Linked DNA regions of Neodiprion lecontei. The protein of the gene in region 4 purifies or fractionates together with the protein of the main gene of each other region. This does not show direct contact. Links are inferred from orthologs where the notes say so. Each region holds a gene or a part of one and is shown on either strand. Other genes may lie near its edges.

Region 1 (5,928 bases), on a different chromosome or scaffold from region 4:
TTAAAAAAAGCGAATCATTTTTTATTGATTGGATGAAGTAACGTATGTATATAGCATGTATATCAATAAATACTTAAATTTGATAAAACAGATACAATTGAATTTTTAATTAACATAATTTACAGCAGTGACTTCTCTGTACATAAATAATTATCGATCAATAGAGAATAGTCATGTCTCGCAAGCTTATACATGTAACTTGTTTTTTACTTATAGGGACAAGTTAACAAATATAAACGTACACTAATCCCGTCATTACAAGACAAAATGGCAATGTGTCTGTACATAAGTAGACGTTATATCGCAATCATTAATCTGCTTTCGAAAACTTATACAAATGTATAGAATTCCTTAAACCAATCGGCACACATAGAAAAAATTACGCAATTATTCATAACGTTAAAACAAAAATATTGTTCCATTTTGGCCATGGAATAATAATATCGAATGAAATTTAACGTGCGTATTTAAAGAAGGTTATTATGTATGCGGCTTTGAATTCGATGGATAAATTGAGTTAATATGATGAATACCACAAGGTCAAACCGATCAAGAAAGTTTATTATTATCTGTTTTTTTTCTCTCTTTGTTTTGTTTTTCCATAATTTCTACAGTAATTTTTCATCTAATGTGTACCACCCACAACTCGGTGTAGTTTTCGTCTGTAGTATGTAACTTCCATATGACACATGTATACCAGAGGCTACGATAGGTACGTATAACACACATGACATTTTCCGTTTAGTTACAGACAAGACCAAGACGAGTCATCTCCTTCAGCAGTTCATTACCCATTTGGGCGGGGCTTCTCGTTACAATCACTCCGGCCTGGAAATAATACGATAAATGACCCCTTTGTTTTTCTCTCTACTGTTATCTGGTGTAAAAAAAAAAAGTAAGAAGTGATATCTGCCTCTCAAGGAAATTTTTAGTAAAAGTATTACTGATATGTATTTCTAAGATATGTAATATCAGTGCAGTAAGTTCTGATTCTGAATTTAACCTTTAGACCGCCAGTGATTTTAATGTATATTCAAATAACCCACATTTATATTATTTGACTATAGTTTCGTCAGTATACTGCGGCCTAAGGATTAATTCTGTACTTGGGAATCATGTGTAATGAATAATCTCAGCAAAACCAATTGCAATGAAAATGTACTAAAACAATCTACATTACCTTTTCAAGAGCGTTAATTTTGTCTTGAGCGCCACCTTTACCGCCTGAGATAATGGCACCAGCATGACCCATTCGACGACCAGGAGGAGCCGTCAATCCGGCAATAAAAGATACAACCGGCTTAGCCTTTCCACCCTACAGTGGAACAAATTGAATCTATGAAATTACAAAAATTATTCTCTACATTTAGCTGCGATTAGGGTGTAAGATTCTTTTTTTCCGTTCTAAAAGTGAAAAGTATTGATTGCAAAGTGCAACGTTAGTGAACATTGTTTTGTCTAAAGTCTAATCTTTAATAAATAAATCAATTAAGTATGGAAAGTCAGCATCAACATATCTTAAAACTTTTTGAATTCAGCAAGGTAGGATCGTAACTTATAGAAAAAACCATGCGGGATATATGGGTATCACTTCATGATTAGGTCTGGAATAGGATAAGGATGGATTAGGCATAATGGCGGGTCATGGATACCAATAATTCAGAACAGCAACCGACAGTGTTATGTTCCATGAGGTATTCAGCAGCCAACTCTTCAGCGCTACCCCCGATTTCTCCGATCATCACTATGCCTTCGCATTCTGGATCTTGTAAGAATACTTCTAAACAGTCAATGAAGTCTGTACCATTGAAGGGATCTCCGCCGATACCAACGCACAGAGTTTGCCCTAGCCCAGCCTTAATAATGCGAAGAAAATTGATTCATTAAAACCTGATTTATGGCCAAAGTATCTCAGAATTATTCATGTGTCACCATGTACGTTTTTTCTCAAGCAGAATTACTAAAATACTTTTGATTCATGTGACTCACCAGAGTTGTCTGATTTACAGCTTCGTAAGTCAGAGTCCCGGATCTCGAGACAATACCAATCTTTCCTTTTTGATGGATATGTCCAGGCATGATCCCAATTTTACACTGATATTGGAAAAGAAATAGGTAATTAAGCTCTTTACGGTTTTTACGTATGAAGATACTAGAGCAATACATTTGTCACTGAAGATAATGAAAGAAACATAAAAATTTACCTGTTCTGGAGCAATGATTCCTGGACAGTTGGGTCCTATAAGGCGAGACTTGTTCTGTTCAAGAAGACGCCTCTTCACTTTTACCATATCGTGCTGAGGCACACCTTCAGTGATACAGACAATTAGAGGCATTTCTGCATCCAAGGCTTCCATAACTGCTGCTGCTGCGCCGGGTGGTGGAACATAAATCACCGAAGCCGTTGCGCCTGTAGCTTCTTTGGCCTATAAAATACATAAACTAAATAAATATATAATAACATGCTTCAAGATTAAATGTCAAATTTCAAAGGGAATTTTTTGATTTTCAATCTCACTCTGGGTATGCTAGGATATATAGAATGAGAATATGTTCAAAATTAAGACAGGAACTTTGGTGTTGAAAGGTTTCATTCTTGAGATTGTCGCTTGAGTTTATCCATATTTTTATCGATGTGGGAATAAAAAAAAAAAAAAAAAAATAGAACGAACCTCTTTGACAGTTTTAAATACAGGCTTGCCCAAGTGCTCTGTTCCAGGTTTTTTGGGATTGACACCACCCACAATTTTGGTCCCATAATCAAGTGCTTGTTGACAATGAAATGTTCCTTGTTTGCCTGTAAATCCCTGGCATATGACTTTGGTATTTGAGTTTATTTTCAGGTTTTTCCTCGTGTCCGTGTAGTTGAATCTTACTTGGGCACGGAGCAAGCTGCTTCGACCTCCCACTAAAGCAAAAATCATTCAAAATTAGTTATATTTCTACTATGCAATGCTGTATCAATATTGGACCATTCCTTGAAATATCTAATCCAAATTCTCTGTAACGCTAATAAGCTCTAATTCTAAGAGCCATATGTCACAAATAGCACCGTCAATGCAAACAGAAGATAATGAAATTTACTCAACTACCTTAAAGGTTATGCTTCTCACGATTCAAGTATACTTGTTCCAAAGATTATAGGCCGGAATAGAATAGATAGACATAATAAAGTTTAAAAATAGGTAAAATAAAATGGAAATTTTTTTTTCATGTAGTTTAATTACAATGATTAACACATTCTTAGATGCAATTACAATGGTATCAATAAAATCAATGTCATATAAATACTCATTCCTGGGAATCAGAAATATTTGAATTTGTTATTTCTATGAACAGTATCTTATACCACAAGAATAAATGACTATTGGTTCACTCTATGAAACAACATTACAAATTGTTGCTTAAAATGATGAATTTTTTGCGTTCTACAGAAAATTTATCATTATTTAAGTTGACATGTTAAGCATACAACGGACGCAGTAGGACGAAACAAGTATTAATAGGGTAATTGGATGTCGACCTCTTGAGGGAAGAAATACCGAAAGGATTAATGTATATCATGAAATTATCCACAGTCCGGTCACGAAAGCATGAATCTGACTTATCTGCCAATGGCACTTGACTTATTAATTAGTGATTCGATCTTAGGAGATTGTCAAGCAATTGAAAGGATTATTGAGCAATTTGATAGAAGCAAAAATGTGGGTTAGATTACATAATGTACACGAGACAATTGTCTCTTTTGATTTGAGCCATCTGGGTCAAGAGCGAACAGCATTCGTAGGGTTAAAATAAAACGGGGTCTATGCAGGTGCGACTGCATAACGATATACGGGGCTTAATTTATTCCGGAATACATTTTGCTTGCGGTACGACTTGTGATATTTTCATTGTATCAATGTTTAAATTACCGACCTGTGATTTTTGATAGATTCCTAACAGCCGCAGCCATTTTAATAAATTTGTCGAGAAAAATTAATTTCAGAACGAACTACGGACTTGACACCATGGACGGGGACAGACAGCCTACTCCTTAATATCTACGATTCCTACTACCATGATATATCCTTGGTGAACAAACCGAATGAAGCGACTCAACACACGGTTAAAAGCGTTCAACGCGAAGCAGTGCTGCTTGCTACGATGTAGAGGCGCTGCCTTTATCCGCCAACTATAAGCTATATATAGGTAAATTGGCTAACTATAATACTAGTACGTACTAGTTAGTCGTTTTAACCAACACAATTTTAGCAGTTTTTGGATTTTTAATGGTGAACCACATGCGCGTATCGAATATGAAAATTTTATACTTTCATAGCACGATATGAGCGTACTTTGCTCATATTCACAGAGATACAACCGCAACAGATCTTCTAATCCTACCAGACGTCGATAATTAATATTGAACAATTTTAATGCATACGATAAGACGTTGAATGGTGACGGAAGGATTTAAAGACGGCTTATATCCCTCGGCGCAAATTTTTATGGCTAGCACTTCACGGCTGAGAGTCACAACAAGCCGTGTTAGCGATTCGGTAGCGTCTATCAGTGGGAGCCGTTCACGCAATTCTATAGGCACACAAACCATATGCAAACCCGCAGTCTACCTCCTGGTCGGTCCCCTGACACACGGTGCTAAAAGGGGTTCGCAAAATGTTCCTCGATTCTGCTGTTAATTTCCACCAATAGTGGCGCTAGTAGTTACCTGACGAGCTTGCGCGCGGTCAGCGAGGGCAGCGAGCGTGTCAGAAGTCTACTACTAGCGCCACGTAGAGGAACTAAAAAACGGGGACAAGACGCGTACAATTTTTTTAGTATACGAGCAGTGGTGAGTGTCAGAGGGCTGCTCCTGGTCAATCTCTCTGTAAGCCTATGGGTGATGCACGTTCAGTTACACATGCCTATAATATATTTTGGTGGTGAAGGCTCGCCGCGTGCCGCACGTGTTAACCTCACATTTTGGTAACACGGTTTCCTGAGTGAACTGGTTTCATAGCAAAAATGGTAAAGAAAAGTGTAAAAAGGAAGCGTAAGGAGAGTGAGAAGGCTAAAAATGTTGAAACCGAAGAAGTGGTGAAGTTCCCGCCATCGAAACGATCGTCCGATGAACCTGCGCCGAAAAAGGTTATTTTATATTCTAACCTCGTCAGTTACTGTATTACAGGTGTACAGACAAACTGCAATCACGCAGCTCACATTTCTCTCAAGACAGAAATTCTCCATTCCCAGTCCACCTTATTGCTAATTTACACCTTTTTCACGGAAAGAATAGTCGCCGCGTCTATTCGCACTACAAAGTGAACCTACACAGGACACTCCAAATATGCCAAATGTTCGGATCTCTTGAATTTTTTGGAATGAATTAGAGTGTCCGAACAAGTTTTCAAGCCATACCATTTTTTACGTGAGTATGATTTGTTTAAAAACATTCACTGAGGGTGACAGACACCGACAACATACTTCGCATCTTTCGTGTGTGTGTTTCAGTTTTGGACAGTGCTAGAGTATAATCATTTATTAAAACTCTAGCAACGGTATAACAGAAACTGAACTTAATCTAACCTTTGCCACACAACTTTAGCGTGCCTGAAATAATACTTTGGATATTTCAATTTTTTGCAAAACAATCGGGACAAATAAACATTTGGCTTATGGAATAATTGGAGTGCCTCGTGAAGATTAACTCTAGAGTGAATAGATACTTTGAAGAATATTTATTTTAAATAGTCATTTTTGTTTCGATAGACGAGATGGATAAACAAACAACGGGTGCTAGTATTCGCATCACGGGGAATTAACCACAGAGATCGTCACCTAATGGAAGATATTAAACGACTTATGCCACACCATCGCCCAGAGAGTAAAATGGAGCGATCCAAAAATTTGCAAGTTATTAATGAGATGTGTGAAATGAAAAATTGC
Region 2 (4,089 bases), on a different chromosome or scaffold from region 4:
CGAGATATTTCAGACGATATTGGAGGAAGCCAAGGCCTCGTATAGGGATGAAATAGTTCACGAATTGCAGAGCAACACACCTGAAGAAATGGAGCAAAATGTAAACAGGATATGCCAGTGGCTTGAGCAGTGGAAAATTGACAATAAATAAATCGAAATTTTTGTTTAACATAAAAATTGTTTTCCCCCAAGGTACTAGTTGTTGAGACTATCGCAATGATGTAACTAGCAAATAGTATCCTATAATTTTATTTACAATCATCAGAGATCCTTGGCTCTGATCACAATTTTTCTACTTCAGCAAGATGCTATATACACATCTAAACTTACACGGTTACTAACGATATATCACCTTTCATGCAATGAAGTTGACCCTATTAAACCCAAAGCATTGAGTCAATGTGTTACAGCTTTGATTCTTGCTGAAGTTTCTTGCAAGTCTAGACTCAAATTAAATAAAGTCTAATTGAAAGATGAGAATCATTACTACATATTGCATCCATCCAAGACTATTCTATAATTTTATTTACAATCTTCAGAATCCTCTGCCCCTGAAGAAGACTTTTTCAACTTTTGTACACGTTATCTATACATTCGAATTTAAATCTTCAGTAAATAGCTTCGAGGATGTCGAAGCGAAAGTCTCAGAAGCTATAAATTAAGTGATGTGCAGTCTGATTCTTGTAAGACATGCTTACAAATTGAATATTGGTGGAGCTTTGTAGTGACAATCTGAGGGAAGTCTATAAAGGAACGTCTAGGAATGATAAAATATTGTTAGGAAAGTGTAGCTTATGTGTTACGTAATTATGAGATGACTTTGAACAGGGGAAACCGTCTGTGAAATGTAAAATAAGGTAAACAAGATTACCGATCAACCGAGAAATACTAATTACGAATGCAGAACAGAAGCTTTCTGCTATTTATGTTCCTCTAGCTTCGAGATGCTTTATAGTCTAGCTCCAATAGTCATTCTACTCAACAATGCCTAGATTTTCTTTCAGATTTTTCAATCTTGCTTCCATACTGGCATAGTACTTCATTTTGACAAGAAGTTTTTTAGCCAGCTCAATGTTTTTCTCTCGAAAAGCGATTGACACTTGTCTGTAAAAATTAGAAAAGCAGTAATAATGAAGTATGAAAAGTGTTGAATAAGATCGGAAGGAAATCCTTAACCATACGTTTATAATCCTTGTCAAACAAAGTGCAAAATTACCTGGTGTAATCGGCTAATATTTCCCTATTTTCCATGATCAATTTCATCACTTTCTCAGCATTGTCAGTGGCCGCTTCGATCTCCTCGTTTTTTTCCATCACCGTCATCAAAAATTCAGGATCTAAAGTAGTCGTCCCCTCAGGTATTTCCAACTTCTCCAATGCCAACATATACAGACCCCTGCTCAGAGGGTGTGAGAGCGTACTATAGGCCTTGTTGACAAGCGACGATAGGTTCTCCGATAATTCCTTCTCTTTCTGCGAGGATTGAAAAGATGGGTCAGTTTTCTCAGTAAAGATGAAATAAAACAGAAAATTCGGTGAAAGCACTCGATCACCTCTGTGCTATTGCTAAACCTGTCAGGATGCAAATAGTGTTGTAATTCTCTGTACTTTTTATGGATTTCGTCACTCTTCAGGTCGTAATCCCGTTTGACGCCGATTATTTGAAAATAATTCAGATTCTCGGGCGGCTCCTGTAGCGCCCTGCACTTGGAGCAAAATAAATCTGACTTGTACTGGAAGTCGCATTTCCAACATTTAGAGGGTAAGTCGCTCGAATAATTCCTGCAGCAACGAGACGCATCGCTAATACTAGCAATTGCGAAATTTGTACGCCCCGATTTGTCGTTCGTACATAAATCCGGGCGATTACATACGCCGACATAACCTCTTGTCGCAAGGCAACGGCAAATGGATCGCAGCCTCATGCCGTTCGTTAAAGAACGGCTAGTCATAGCTCGGAATTAGAATTTTCTTGTTATTCTGAATTTCTTCTGATTGACAATACCATCGAAACTACAATGCGGCAGTACGCGAGGAAGGAAAGAAGACATTACGCTGAACAGTGGCGGCCATATTGAATTCTAAACACGAGACGATGCGATTGGTCAGTTTCACTTGTAAAATTGAATCAGATCCTTTTGATTTGTTTGTCGAACTTGAATCGCCGGTAGCTGATTGACGATTAAGTTGAAGTTAGTAACATTATCGTAATGAATAACATTTTGGAAAATCGTTATTTCGCAGTTGCAGGAATGTCTAAAATTCAGTAAATCACAACAGGGCAAAATGTATTGATATTTTGAAAGCTTACCCATATTAACTATCTCAAAGTCACTGTATAAATTTGCAAAATAGTAATTTTTCCCCCCAACATTTTGCTACGTAAACATTACGAACTTCAGCCTCATGATTGACGAGAGTTCGCTTTTATTTTTACGTGTGAGCCAGTGAACCGATGTTGTTTGAAAGATATTTAAATAATGAAAACTCCGAGAAAAAAGAAAATCTTCGGGATAGATTTCGGTTCGATGAATCGTATAACAGCCAGAGAGAAGCCTTAACAGCTGACAAACGATTGTTCAAACCTAATCTACGATTTCAGAAACGAGGACCTAGACTTGTCTGGCATTCCGCCGAAAAATGCTGAAAGCGCTGACAACGAATAAACGTAATTTGCCGATGAATGAGTACGAAGAAGGGAGGGAGAAACGATGAACGGGGAATAAGAAAAGAAAACTCCGAGCACCTCCTGCGCTTCCATTGCGGGCGATCCGGCGGCGTGTTTTCAAATTCGTCCAATCAGCTCGCGACAACGCGCAGGTCGTACCTCGCTCTGAGCGGCCTCCACGCGAGCCACGTCGTCCTCTCCCTTCAGTTCCGTCTATCAGTCGTTGATTCCAGTCAGTCGTTAGTCTTCCGATTGCTTCCGATTCCCGAGCATTGTACTTCAGAAGGACAATTTTCGCCAGCGGAGGGTCGACAAGCTCGCGAAATGCTGTTCAGAAGTTTAATCCTGCTGTCTCTGGCTCTCGGCGCTTTCGCCGCCGAAGAGGACGTCCTCGAATTGACGGACGACGATTTCTCCCACGAGTTGGAACGCCATGAGAATTCACTCGTCATGTTCTACGCGCCTTGGTAAGCATTCGAAGCTTGTTATTTACCTCACTTTTTATTCCGTGGCTTTGGATTCGGAAAATCTCGAACAGTCGCTACCCGCCCCATAGCTTACCGAAGCACCGGCACCCGGTCGAAAAGACCGCTTATCTCCTTTCGAACGTGACGTTAAACGTCAGACGGACTCGCCGCTGTTTTCGGGACATATGCGACGATGATTATTCACCAATCTTAGTAGCGTTGACAACAATATTTTATACATACGCACATATACTCTCAAGTCGAGATGTATTCTCTCAGAATCACGTAACCTCCTTATCTCGCATGAAATCGTTGCTTCTTTGTGTGCAGAATGCCGTTATCTAATATTGAACTTCGCCACAACGAATCTCTATGTCTCGCTTTATTCTAAGTTTATTATGTATTATGGTTCATATTTCTCGCATTCGTACAGGTGCGGACATTGCAAACGCCTCAAGCCCGAATATGCCAAAGCGGCGGAACTTCTCAAAGGTAATGATCCGCCGATCACTTTGGCCAAGGTTGACTGCACAGAGGCGGGTAAAACCACCTGCAACAAATACTCGGTCAGCGGATATCCGACGCTGAAGGTATTTTCCAAAAATGAAATGGTCGGCGATTACAACGGCCCAAGAGAAGCTCCTGGTATCGCAAAGCACATGAAGGTATGACTAAATAAAATAACCACAATAAGGTATGCAAATAATATATTTATTTGATTCCTGAAATTTTTGAGCCTCCTTTTACACTGTTTTTGTGTCGTCTTGTAGGCTCAAGTTGGACCTGCCTCCAAGGAATTGACTGGCGAAGACTGCCAGAAGGGCTTCTTGGATTCTGACGAGGTTGGAGTGATCGGTTACTTTGAGAAGGACGATTCACCCTTGTCAGCCGCCTTCCATACTGTTGCTAAGAAACTGAGGGAGAAGGTCAGGTTCGCGCATACAAGTGCCAACG
Region 3 (4,564 bases), on a different chromosome or scaffold from region 4:
ATCGTCATTATTAAGTCAATTAATTTTTGTAGGCCGATGAAATAACTTGAATTTCACAGGTGATTCTAGAATTTTCAATCCGCGCACGATGAACGAAGCAAAAGCTGTATTTCCAACAGTGAATGTTTACAACGCCTTACAAGTAAAATTCATTGATTTATTGCAGGAACGAATCGACGAGTACGATTACTCCAAGCCCTTGGAGGGGCAGAAAAAACTTCCTATTGAGAAACATTGGCGCAAACATACTCTGACTTGGGCCCAGGACGACGGTTCTGTGAGTGCACTGCATCGTCCGAGTAATTAACAAGATGAAGCCAGATATTTACGTATATTTACTTTTCAGATATGCATTACCTACCGGCCGGTAATTGACACTACTCTGGACGAGAGTGAAGCGGAACATGTGCCACCAGCAGTACGTAGTTACTAACAAGGTTGGCGTTAACCCGGCATAAGGTCTAGATATGCATATACATAGTTGCATAAACCGGTTCAGATTAACTGATGATAAATCAAAAAAGTGCAACTGATAATCAACTCGTTCCAAGATTCTAAGGAGTATACGTGTGAATGCAGGTTGATAAACTATATACGAGTAAATAATTTCCAGTTGTACCTATACCGCGTTTTAGTTTGTCCTTGGTACGTATTGTACCTACTATGCTTTTTCCCCGTGTTGACTTTACGGTCATAATTCGTGGTGTAACAAAATGAATTCCTTTCACAATTCGATAGTTTATTCTTGTCGCTTACTTACGTTTCGTAGAATTTCACCTATACCTACTTTTTATATAAATAAAAACATGCACGTATATCTCGAGTGTCGTATCAGGAAAGTGGTATAAGCGTGAGTAAACAACTGCAACTTGTACCGGATGGAAAAATATTATTCACAGACATCATGTTTACACGTATTTATTTTATTCATACGATTGTTTAAATCGATCGAGCTTATGAATATTCAAATAAAATTCGTTGGTTTATACTGTCTTTAAACTTAACTCCCTGGATTTTACGGTAATGCGAGAAGTTAGTAAGACAAAAGCGTAAGTAAAATACACAACCCAAACTATATTATGTTCGCTTCAAATTCGACACATTGAATACCGAGTCGGCGCTATTTTTAACCCGTGTTGGCGTGTGCCGTCCGAAAATGAAACGCCGTGGTACGAACCGAAAAGAAGACGAGAATTCGATTCCCTGTTAGGTTTTAGTCGAATACCATGTTTCCTCAACATTTATCACAGCAGGTCGTTCTCGGTGATTGTATTTTCCTGTAACTGGCTGGCGCGTACGGCGCTGGCGCGAACGTCGGTTATAAGTTTGCGGTATGGGGCTTGGAACGAAGAACGTAACGTTAGATCTTTGCTGCAATAATGCTTCGACGAATTACAAAGCATCGATATCTAGCTGCGGTAAATCAGCGTTTGGAAAAAGAGAGGAAAATTGCAACAAACAGTGAACTACCCCGATATATAATATATTGCAATGCGTATTTTTCCCCTCTGTAACGTTGGCCCCACTGGCCTGACCGACGTCGCCGACTCAGGTTCAGTGTTCACGACGCCGTACGAGAGGTGCGCGAGTGTACTGCTCGTGCGTTAATATTTTGGTAGTAAAAAAGGGGATCGAAATTTGGATTAACACCCCCTGGCAGGTCCAAGATGAGCATAATGTTGAAAGTACCGGGAATTATCGCGAGGAATCTGCCCTCGGCGACTCTAGTAAGTATTTCTTTAAGTTATATAATTTTCGTCGAAGCGTATCGTCGAACCGCTAATTCATCGCACCTTTAGTGTACGATGAGATCTGCTTTCCATTACGTAAGTGTCGACCCTGTCGTCATTTGTTTTTCCCAAAGTGAGTGAAATTGGGTATTTTCTCCAAGTGTCGCAACTATTGTGCAATTTCAAGTTATCTGTACAGATTGCTTTTCGACTAGCGAAACGGTCTAAAAATACACCCCATTTTTGCCAGTTTCCTTGCTTGTCGGTTTTTTTCATACGAACATCATATCAATTAGAGTTAATTATCAACTTATTTTCTTCGCGGCACATGATCATCTGTCTTGTTTTTTTGTCCTGGTATATCCCCCAAAATGCGATAACACTCACGACGCTTGACAGCTGCCAGAGCACATATAGCCCAGATTCCTACACGCGATCAGGCTTCATTTGCTCATTAGCAATGTAGTCGGGTTTATTCTATCTCCGGGATTAATTGCTTAGCGTAAACAACTAATTCTGTATCAAGTCAACAACAGTTTTCACGGAAAGTTCCACCGTTTTAAATTGCTTTTACCGTAATAACGTATAGGCACGATACGGCTTACACTGCTCGCAATGATTTTCTGATTACGTCGAAACAGGACGTAACCAATTCGCATATTTGTGTGTTGGACGGTTTAACCTATTCGCAAATTTACAAGGTGCAGGGAATATCGACCTAAATAGAACTATGACGGAAGCGAAATCGCCAGCGGCAAACTGCTCAGCTTTTAGTTAAGATATTCTCACAAGCTTTGCTAAATTAGTTTTAACGTCTTATTCAATGAAGCGTGCGAATATTTTTCTTTGTACTTGTATGACTACCGCATGATCAAAAATAATGGCCAATTTACACCGTATGTAACGGCCGGTGAACAAAGCTTTAGATGTAGCTTTCCGTTTTCTTAACCGCTACAGGTGGCAGCACTGGTCGGCTGGAAAAGTGGTTGGAATTGAAAACAAATCAATTTCACGAGCATCGTAAAATTGATAGAAGAGTGCATGTTCTTATCTCATTTTTACTTTTATTTCTACTGTCATATGTATACATGAATCTGACGTACCTTGCGTGTGTGCTCTTGCTCATTATTATATAAGTTTAATTCTTCAATTCTGATAGGTGATTTCCGGTAACCACCCAATTCGTTTGTCACGCTATCCCCCTCTTTAATTTCATTTGATTGTTAGAACATTCCAGATAGAAAAAAGCCGAGACGTAGGAAGTAGATTATAAATAAGTACAAATTATATACAAGTATTGTATATTATATGGGATATTAGATAATTAATTCTGGGTTGTTGCAAGCAAATCGCAAAGATCGACAGAGGCGAGGACTATCAATATTTTGGTCTAATGAATACTATGAGCAGTTTTATTCTACTCGTCTCTGGTTGTATTCTGCTGGCAAAACGTAACGACACTTGTCACCTAACCTAACTTAATTTAACAAACTGATATCGCATCCTTAGTTTAGATAAGGTTGAAGGTACTTATAAGCTAAATATAAATCACAGCTAGACTTCTTGAATTGTGATCGCTTAGTTTCGGACGAACCATGAATAATCTTTTAATTTGTTCTTTTCAGCTTATAACTGCTTTTATGAAATTCCAGCAATGCTTACAATTCAAAGTAGAAGCTATTTTTGGGATGGCTATCTAGTAATTGCATCACGAAATCGACGATAACTCGTGCAAATATATTATCAATTAGCAAGAAATGATTTTAGTATTGTTTCATTAATTGCACTAGAAAATTGTAATTGAACTGCATGAATCATTATAGCTATGAAGAAATTGAGAAAATTATAGAATGTATATTAAAACAGAATTCGATCGGCAAAGTTTTGGAGAACGAAGTATAAGATTAAATCTTTTCAACACATTTAAATATTTAAACTTGACGCTAAATCTGAAATACTAAGAACTGTATTTTTTGTTACATTGTGAAAAGTATGTTATGTATCATCACTATGAATAAAGATGTGCTGAAAATTTTAATTTTTTTATCTCTCTCTCTCTCTGTTTTTCTCAAATCAAAGTTGTAAACATGGAGAAAAGTATTTACTGATCCAGCAAAAAAATTTAATACGTTTCATTTAGAATACCTCAAATTTTACACTTTTAGTAACTTTTTCATTGACGAATCTACTTTTATGCTGAATCGGTGTGGTCGTTAAATATTTCACTATCAATTCATCATATATCAGCTATACTTGGGCAAGGTTTCCTGTAGTTTTCATTGTTTCTTGTGTGAATGCGGGTGTTTCTATTGAACATCTTAAGACAACTGTAGACACATAACGACGGTCACTAATCCATCACTTTCCTTACCCCATATAAGTTTAGCGACTCCTGGAGACATATCCTATTGGGTATGTCTGCTGTAGGTAGCAATTATTATTATTAATCATCATAGTTTTCATTGTGTCAGTGAACATGATGTAGTTGAATTTTCCAGGAAGACTAATCTATATAAATATTCACTGTGACACCTTATTCTGTTTCTATTAATTCTGATGTCATGTTATACCAAAGTTCTCCAAATTCTTGAACGATCAAGTAATAAGTTGAATAAAAAATTAGTAATTACATAAATGTTACACCCTCCATAATCATTAAGAATGCAATATTTCAGAGAAAGATCGGCCTGCCTTCACTTTCGAGCCGCAAATTTCATTACACACCTGATGGTAAAGCGGCCAAAGTATCTGATGCCATTTCCAAGCAGTATCCAATAGTGGACCATACTTATGATGCTGTTGTGGTTGGTGCTGGTGGTGCTGGGCTTCGTGCT
Region 4 (5,534 bases):
CGGGTATATAATTCCTTATCATGTTTCTTTCAAAAGAAAGTAATCTGTCGAAAGTGTTGGATGGTTTTTTATTCCACTAGACATGCAGAGCATTTACTTATCATCTTCTTATGGTGGGGGCGACGGATGACGTGAGTGTCGGTCGATCCCCAGGGCATTACTTAGCTTCGAAAGTCGGTTGGAAATTACAAGCCCTATATGGGTATGAATGAAATGACTGCAAGCTAGTAGCGAGTCCGAGATCAGTCGCGCACACGTATACAGTACATGTTTCAACCTTCTCCTAACTTGGCATTCGAATATAATTATTGAACCCTGCTCGCTAGACGATGTTTATAAACGATTTCTACTCTAAGTTTGGTTTACCTCTCCTGAATCGGTTCCAGCTTATTGGTTGGACTACAAAGTCACCCAAGTCCAAAGGTTTCAAATTAAGGCCTTGACGGAAATACTGAGCTCCAAACTTATTGGACATCTGCAGCTGTGTTGAGTAGTTAGCTAAAGCTTGGAAATTGATCGGAACTTGAAATGCATTCATTAAAGAATTCAATCATTTTCAAGCAAACTTTATTTCAATAAAAATGCATTTACAGTATAAATCATTGCTTCTATATCAGCATCCAATGGAAAATTCTGAATAGATTAACCACTACTATCAGTATTCACACTCCTCTACTAATTATAAAACTTTTCCATTCTCTTCTTCGATTATTACACCACTTACAACTTCGTAAACAACGACATATATCATTCATGGTATAATTTTATTACAGGTATGTACAGCTACGGCATTGTACACCACGTGAAATGTTACTATAATTGAGCAAAGGTACAAGTTACACAGTCTTGAACAAGGAAATTTATCGATAAACGTCGATGGTGGACGGCTATGCCTATTGTCTTATCGCCGCAACGGCTTTTTTAGCAGCCTCATCCAGATCGGAAGCTGAAAGAATCGGTAACCCAGATTCCGCAAGTATTTTTCTGGCTTCCATAACATTCGTACCTAGTTGCATAATAAAATAGTTCGTTTGCATCAAAAATCGCTGTGCCTTTCTAAAATAGTCCGAAAATGAGGTGATCAACAATATTACCTTCCAATCTGACCACAAGTGGGATTTTCAAGCCAAGATTGCGAGCCGCTCCCACAATTCCATTGGCTATCGTTGCGCAGTTTACTATACCGCCGAAAACGTTGACAAGAATAGCTTCCACCTTGGCATCTGAATTTAATATCGAAAGTATTACAACATTCTCGAAGTGTTTCCATTAGTCAAATGATAATCTCGCAGTCGAGAATCAACGTAGAATTTATTTACCTTCGGTGAGAATTCGGAAAGCTTGATATACTTGATCTTCCTTAACGCTACCTCCAACGTCCAAGAAATTAGCTGGCGTTCCCCCGTTTAACTTAATTATATCCATAGTTGCCATGGCTAGCCCAGCTCCGTTAACTATACGTCAATCACATATTGCGATATTATAAATGCATCCGAATACATTGTGAGCAAGAAACATTGTTCTGGTAACGATCAAAATTTTTGTAGGAATATGCGGGGAAGAACTAGATTACCAAGGCATCCAATATTTCCGTCCATTCCGATGTAATTCAAGCTGAACTTCGACGCCTCTACTTCTCTCGGATCATCTTCGCCAGCGTCGTCCAAAGAGAATATGTCTTGCTGCCTGTACTGAGCGTTGTCGTCAAACGATATTTTAGCATCAACAGCGATGATTTGCTTATCCTTGGTTTCTACCAAAGGATTTATCTCGATCTGCAGCGCATCTATGTCAACAAACAACTTCCACAAATTCCTCAATTCAGCAACAGTTTTGTCCAGCAACAACTTATCTCCAAAACCTAAGAAATTTGCTACTTCTTTGGCAATGCTCTCTGTAATTCCCTCGTAAATGTCAAGTGGTATGGTCTTTATTAAATCCGGCGTTTTTTCAGCAACCGCTTCAATGTCCATTCCACCTGCTGGAGAGGCTATCAATACCGGACCGTTATGCTGCCTATCCATTAAAATACAAACGTATGTCTCCTTCACGATGTCAACCGATTCGGCAACCATCACTTTATTCACCACAATCCCATCCTTGGGCGTCTGTTTTGTTATTAAACGATGCCCCAACATGTTCTTTACAATTTCCAGAAGCTTCTCGTGTCTACAAAGTTTTCATACGAATTTTTACGCCTATAATTTAAAGCCGGGTTTCTTGCTTCAAATTCATCCTCGAAATAAATTTCAATTTGGAAGCAAAGAAACTAACCCTTAGCAATATTCAATTCTCAAACATAATCTATGAAGGTTAAAGAACCTAAATATAAGATACTATTTTGTATTACAAATTGTACACGAGCAAAGAGTCACATTAAATTACAACAAAAATCAATTGGTATTTAAATGGATATCTAATTTCTCTGTAGATGAAATTATGAATATTGTGAGGTCTTGATAAAATGGTTTATACGTTTATAAATCATAAATCGAGATTTTGAAATATCAAGAAACATAAATTCCAACAATGTAACCAAGAATGCTATTTTACTATTCTTGCCGAATGTAATCTGTGGGAAGGTTTTTCCGCAAGAATATCGATTATTTTCTATTCTAGCAGAATTGCTCTTACTCTTTAGTGATGTGTACACCACCCTTGAATCCATTATCAAAGTGACCTTTACCCCTCCCTCCTGCCAGAATTTGAGCCTTTACCACGTATTCAGCCGCATCTGTAACGTAAAAAAATGTACTGAACGTTTGCACGTATGATCCGATCAGTTGCAAATATGAGACATTCTGAAGCTCGCAAGTTATACTAACATGACTTAATATTTAAATACATATACTTACTGAATTTGTTTAAGACTTCTGGGGCATATTTCAAGTCGTCGACTATAGCGAAATTTTGTACAGACACACCGCTGTCTCTTAGTAGTAATTTACTCTGATATTCAAGAAGGTTCAAATTCCTCACAGGGATAAGAAACACCCGTGATACATTTTTGAACGAATTAACCAAGAGCGAGGCTCTTTGAACAAGGAATCGCGACATGTTTAACGCTTCAGCACTTTGGCTTCTCTCAACGACCGATACTCTGCAGACAGTACTCAGATACTTTTAACACGGTTTAAGGTTAGGTTGAGAAACTGGTCGGTACAATCGGATCCAAAATTACTACTGTCTTTAGCTTGCCAGTCGTGCATACGGAAGAAAAATAAGTAAAATAATATTATGATTAAAGTACGTTAATCACTCAATACCCAATGGGCGCTCTGTGCTCTGATCGATAAGATTAATTAGGTTATGAGACTGGATAGGGCTGTACAATGAAGTGACCAAACGCTGCGTCGATCAAATAAAATATTTATTTCATCTGTATGAACATGACAATTGGGTGTTATTAGTATTAATAATTGCACACGTGTTAAAACTTTCGAAATATTAACAGTTTGTATGTCTCATCCGAACTCAATAAGCATTCAGGTTATTAACTACAGATGGGACTGGACACTATATACAGTATCGCAGTGATTCACTGAAGATAATTATCGTCCATTATTACATAAACTACAATGTACACAAAATATCAATAAAGAGCAATGTACACGTTATGGTTGTGAAAAAAGATGGAATCAAACACAAACTGCATAATCGGCTGTATGCTGACGGAATGGGAAAATATGGACCATCCGATAAGTTGTCTGTGGGAACCGTAGACATCATGTCGTGAACTCGTAGTGTATAAAGTGGTATAAAGCGAGGGTTACACATTTAGCATCTGTTTCATCACATGTCATATGCATCTCCGGTACTGAACACGCATGCGCAATTACTTGAATCCCTCTTCCATTTTGCCGACTAAGAGAGCAAGAGCGGCAACAGTAATGGACATGTTTACATCGCATCGATTCAATACGCATCAAATCAAGAATCAATTAATCAAAAAAAAGTAATCTATTTCTTCAGCATCTCCGATTATTATTTTTAAATCAATCAGTACTTTGAATGTAGTTTAAGCGCAGGTCTAAAACGGTCATTAGTTGGATATTTTGTGAAGTTCGATTCAAATTAGTGAAAGGAAATTGGGTTTACATTGGATATTAATATTTCAAATTGACAAATATTATACACAATGTAATATTGCGATAGTTTTTGTGGTTCTTTCGACTTATCTGGTATTGAACCCGAACTTTGTAATAGTTTTCACGTAAGATTTCCTTCAGTGATTATAACGTTGCAGAATCAAAGCCTAGTAAAATCAAAACTGCAGCTGATTCTTCACCTATACAATTTGTAGAATAATGAATGTACAGACACAAAGTGCTTGCAACAATCTCTTATCTCTTTTGCGCTGCCGAGTTCGTGGGTAGCTCTGCCTCTGTCCTAGGGAGTTTTGAGCGCTGGCTCAAATTTCAGAACGCTCCCTTAAATAGATTCTGAAACATTCGATAACCCTAAAAATTTTACAACCCATAGTGCACAACCAAGCAAGGACGCTCGGCCGTGCACCCAGCTGATCGTAAGAGCACCTTTGATTTACAACATTATTGTAATTCCTAGTTCTCGTCTAGCGACCTCAACATTGCATGAAAACAGTCTCACAATGGCTCATTTTACTCTTCATCCTTTCCGAAATTGCGCAAAGTATCTCAGCTATGCACTTTTTGATCCCTCAAATGCGGAAAATGTGGAAAAAATAACATGTGTCAAAAACCGAACATTTTTTTTACGATTTTCGGAATTCGGAAAATACACCGGTGAAATTTGAACCCTTTCCGGTCATTTGTTTATTCAACAAAGGAAGAAAAAAGGTGAGTTCGCTCGATCGGTGAAGGTAGGAGTACTATATGACTTTAAAAGTTCCATGCCCCAGTTGCAGTCACAAAAAATATAGTCAAATAGTCAGGATTTCTCGAAGAAAGTTCTTACACTTATTTTCAAAAGTGCCAGAATTTATTCCAGGCACCAATGGTTCGAAAGTTACGGTACACAAATTAAATAATTCGAACTTATTACGTTGTTTTCATACTCATGATTGCAATATGCTGGAGTTTCACCGACGTCAAATTGAAGCGCCACGCCGACAGCGCGAAAAGTCGCTCATGAAAATGGGTACCATCACAAAGGCAAAATGTCGCGCGTCGAAAAGCACGTCGTTAGGTCAATGGTTCTGTATTATATTTTTAATCGAAGAATTGGAAAATCTAGGACTGTTAATTGGAAGTGCGAAAAAACAGAGAAAATGAAGAAGCCAGATGAAGTACCTGGAGGCATATACGGACTGCGCGTAATCGATTCCTCTCGAAAAATTACGTCGATAAAGTGCAACAAAAAATTGATCCAACCATTTTTCAAAATCAGCGAAATGTCGACTGACAAAATCCAAAGGGGTTAGCCTTGCTTTTTTGCGATTTTTAGATATCGGAAACTTTTCGTCTCAAACTCGTTTTGCAGGACTTTTGCTTTAATAGTTAGACCCTTAGGAATGCGAAAAAGACATCAAGAAGAGTGTGGGATTATAAATAGCT

The links.
Region 1: the proteins of succinate--CoA ligase [GDP-forming] subunit beta, mitochondrial (region 4) and succinate--CoA ligase [ADP/GDP-forming] subunit alpha, mitochondrial fractionate together in Homo sapiens (co-fractionation; 6 studies listed by BioGRID and IntAct, counting the BioPlex papers as one, with this or other methods). This does not show direct contact. The link is inferred for Neodiprion lecontei from reciprocal best matches to the Homo sapiens genes SUCLG2 and SUCLG1.
Region 2: the proteins of succinate--CoA ligase [GDP-forming] subunit beta, mitochondrial (region 4) and iron-sulfur cluster co-chaperone protein HscB purify together in Homo sapiens (affinity purification with mass spectrometry; 3 studies listed by BioGRID and IntAct, with this or other methods). This does not show direct contact. The link is inferred for Neodiprion lecontei from reciprocal best matches to the Homo sapiens genes SUCLG2 and HSCB.
Region 3: the proteins of succinate--CoA ligase [GDP-forming] subunit beta, mitochondrial (region 4) and succinate dehydrogenase [ubiquinone] flavoprotein subunit, mitochondrial fractionate together in Homo sapiens (co-fractionation; 3 studies listed by BioGRID, with this or other methods). This does not show direct contact. The link is inferred for Neodiprion lecontei from reciprocal best matches to the Homo sapiens genes SUCLG2 and SDHA.

Annotation. Positions count from the first base shown.
Region 1 is NC_060263.1:32,444,889-32,450,816, forward strand, and holds succinate--CoA ligase [ADP/GDP-forming] subunit alpha, mitochondrial, read right to left. Parts: upstream 4,068-5,928; 5' UTR 3,956-4,067; coding exon 3,919-3,955; intron 2,909-3,918; coding exon 2,673-2,908; intron 2,427-2,672; coding exon 2,205-2,426; intron 2,095-2,204; coding exon 1,990-2,094; intron 1,857-1,989; coding exon 1,653-1,856; intron 1,337-1,652; coding exon of another isoform or gene 1,316-1,336; coding exon 1,181-1,315; intron 829-1,180; coding exon 742-828; 3' UTR 541-741; downstream 1-540. Other genes in the region: ribosome biogenesis protein BRX1 homolog, read left to right, coding at 5,008-5,130, 5,752-5,928. UniProt on the Homo sapiens protein: Succinyl-CoA synthetase functions in the citric acid cycle (TCA), coupling the hydrolysis of succinyl-CoA to the synthesis of either ATP or GTP and thus represents the only step of substrate-level phosphorylation in the TCA.
Region 2 is NC_060266.1:20,481,866-20,485,954, forward strand, and holds iron-sulfur cluster co-chaperone protein HscB, read right to left. Parts: upstream 2,087-4,089; 5' UTR 1,953-2,086; coding exon 1,554-1,952; intron 1,474-1,553; coding exon 1,217-1,473; intron 1,105-1,216; coding exon 975-1,104; 3' UTR 503-974; downstream 1-502. Other genes in the region: adenylate kinase isoenzyme 6, read left to right, coding at 1-151; protein disulfide-isomerase A3, read left to right, coding at 2,684-3,135, 3,569-3,800, 3,906-4,089.
Region 3 is NC_060260.1:33,240,083-33,244,646, forward strand, and holds the start of succinate dehydrogenase [ubiquinone] flavoprotein subunit, mitochondrial, read left to right. Parts: upstream 1-1,528; 5' UTR 1,529-1,667; coding exon 1,668-1,727; intron 1,728-1,742; exon of another isoform or gene 1,743-3,256; intron 3,257-3,355; exon of another isoform or gene 3,356-3,765; intron 3,766-4,405; coding exon 4,406-4,564. Other genes in the region: succinate dehydrogenase [ubiquinone] flavoprotein subunit, mitochondrial, read left to right, coding at 167-277, 347-433. UniProt on the Homo sapiens protein: Flavoprotein (FP) subunit of succinate dehydrogenase (SDH) that is involved in complex II of the mitochondrial electron transport chain and is responsible for transferring electrons from succinate to ubiquinone (coenzyme Q).
Region 4 is NC_060264.1:36,036,660-36,042,193, reverse strand, and holds succinate--CoA ligase [GDP-forming] subunit beta, mitochondrial, read right to left. Parts: upstream 3,789-5,534; 5' UTR 3,058-3,788; coding exon 2,856-3,057; intron 2,735-2,855; coding exon 2,635-2,734; intron 2,170-2,634; coding exon 1,574-2,169; intron 1,455-1,573; coding exon 1,320-1,454; intron 1,224-1,319; coding exon 1,095-1,223; intron 1,007-1,094; coding exon 894-1,006; 3' UTR 551-893; downstream 1-550. UniProt on the Homo sapiens protein: GTP-specific succinyl-CoA synthetase functions in the citric acid cycle (TCA), coupling the hydrolysis of succinyl-CoA to the synthesis of GTP and thus represents the only step of substrate-level phosphorylation in the TCA.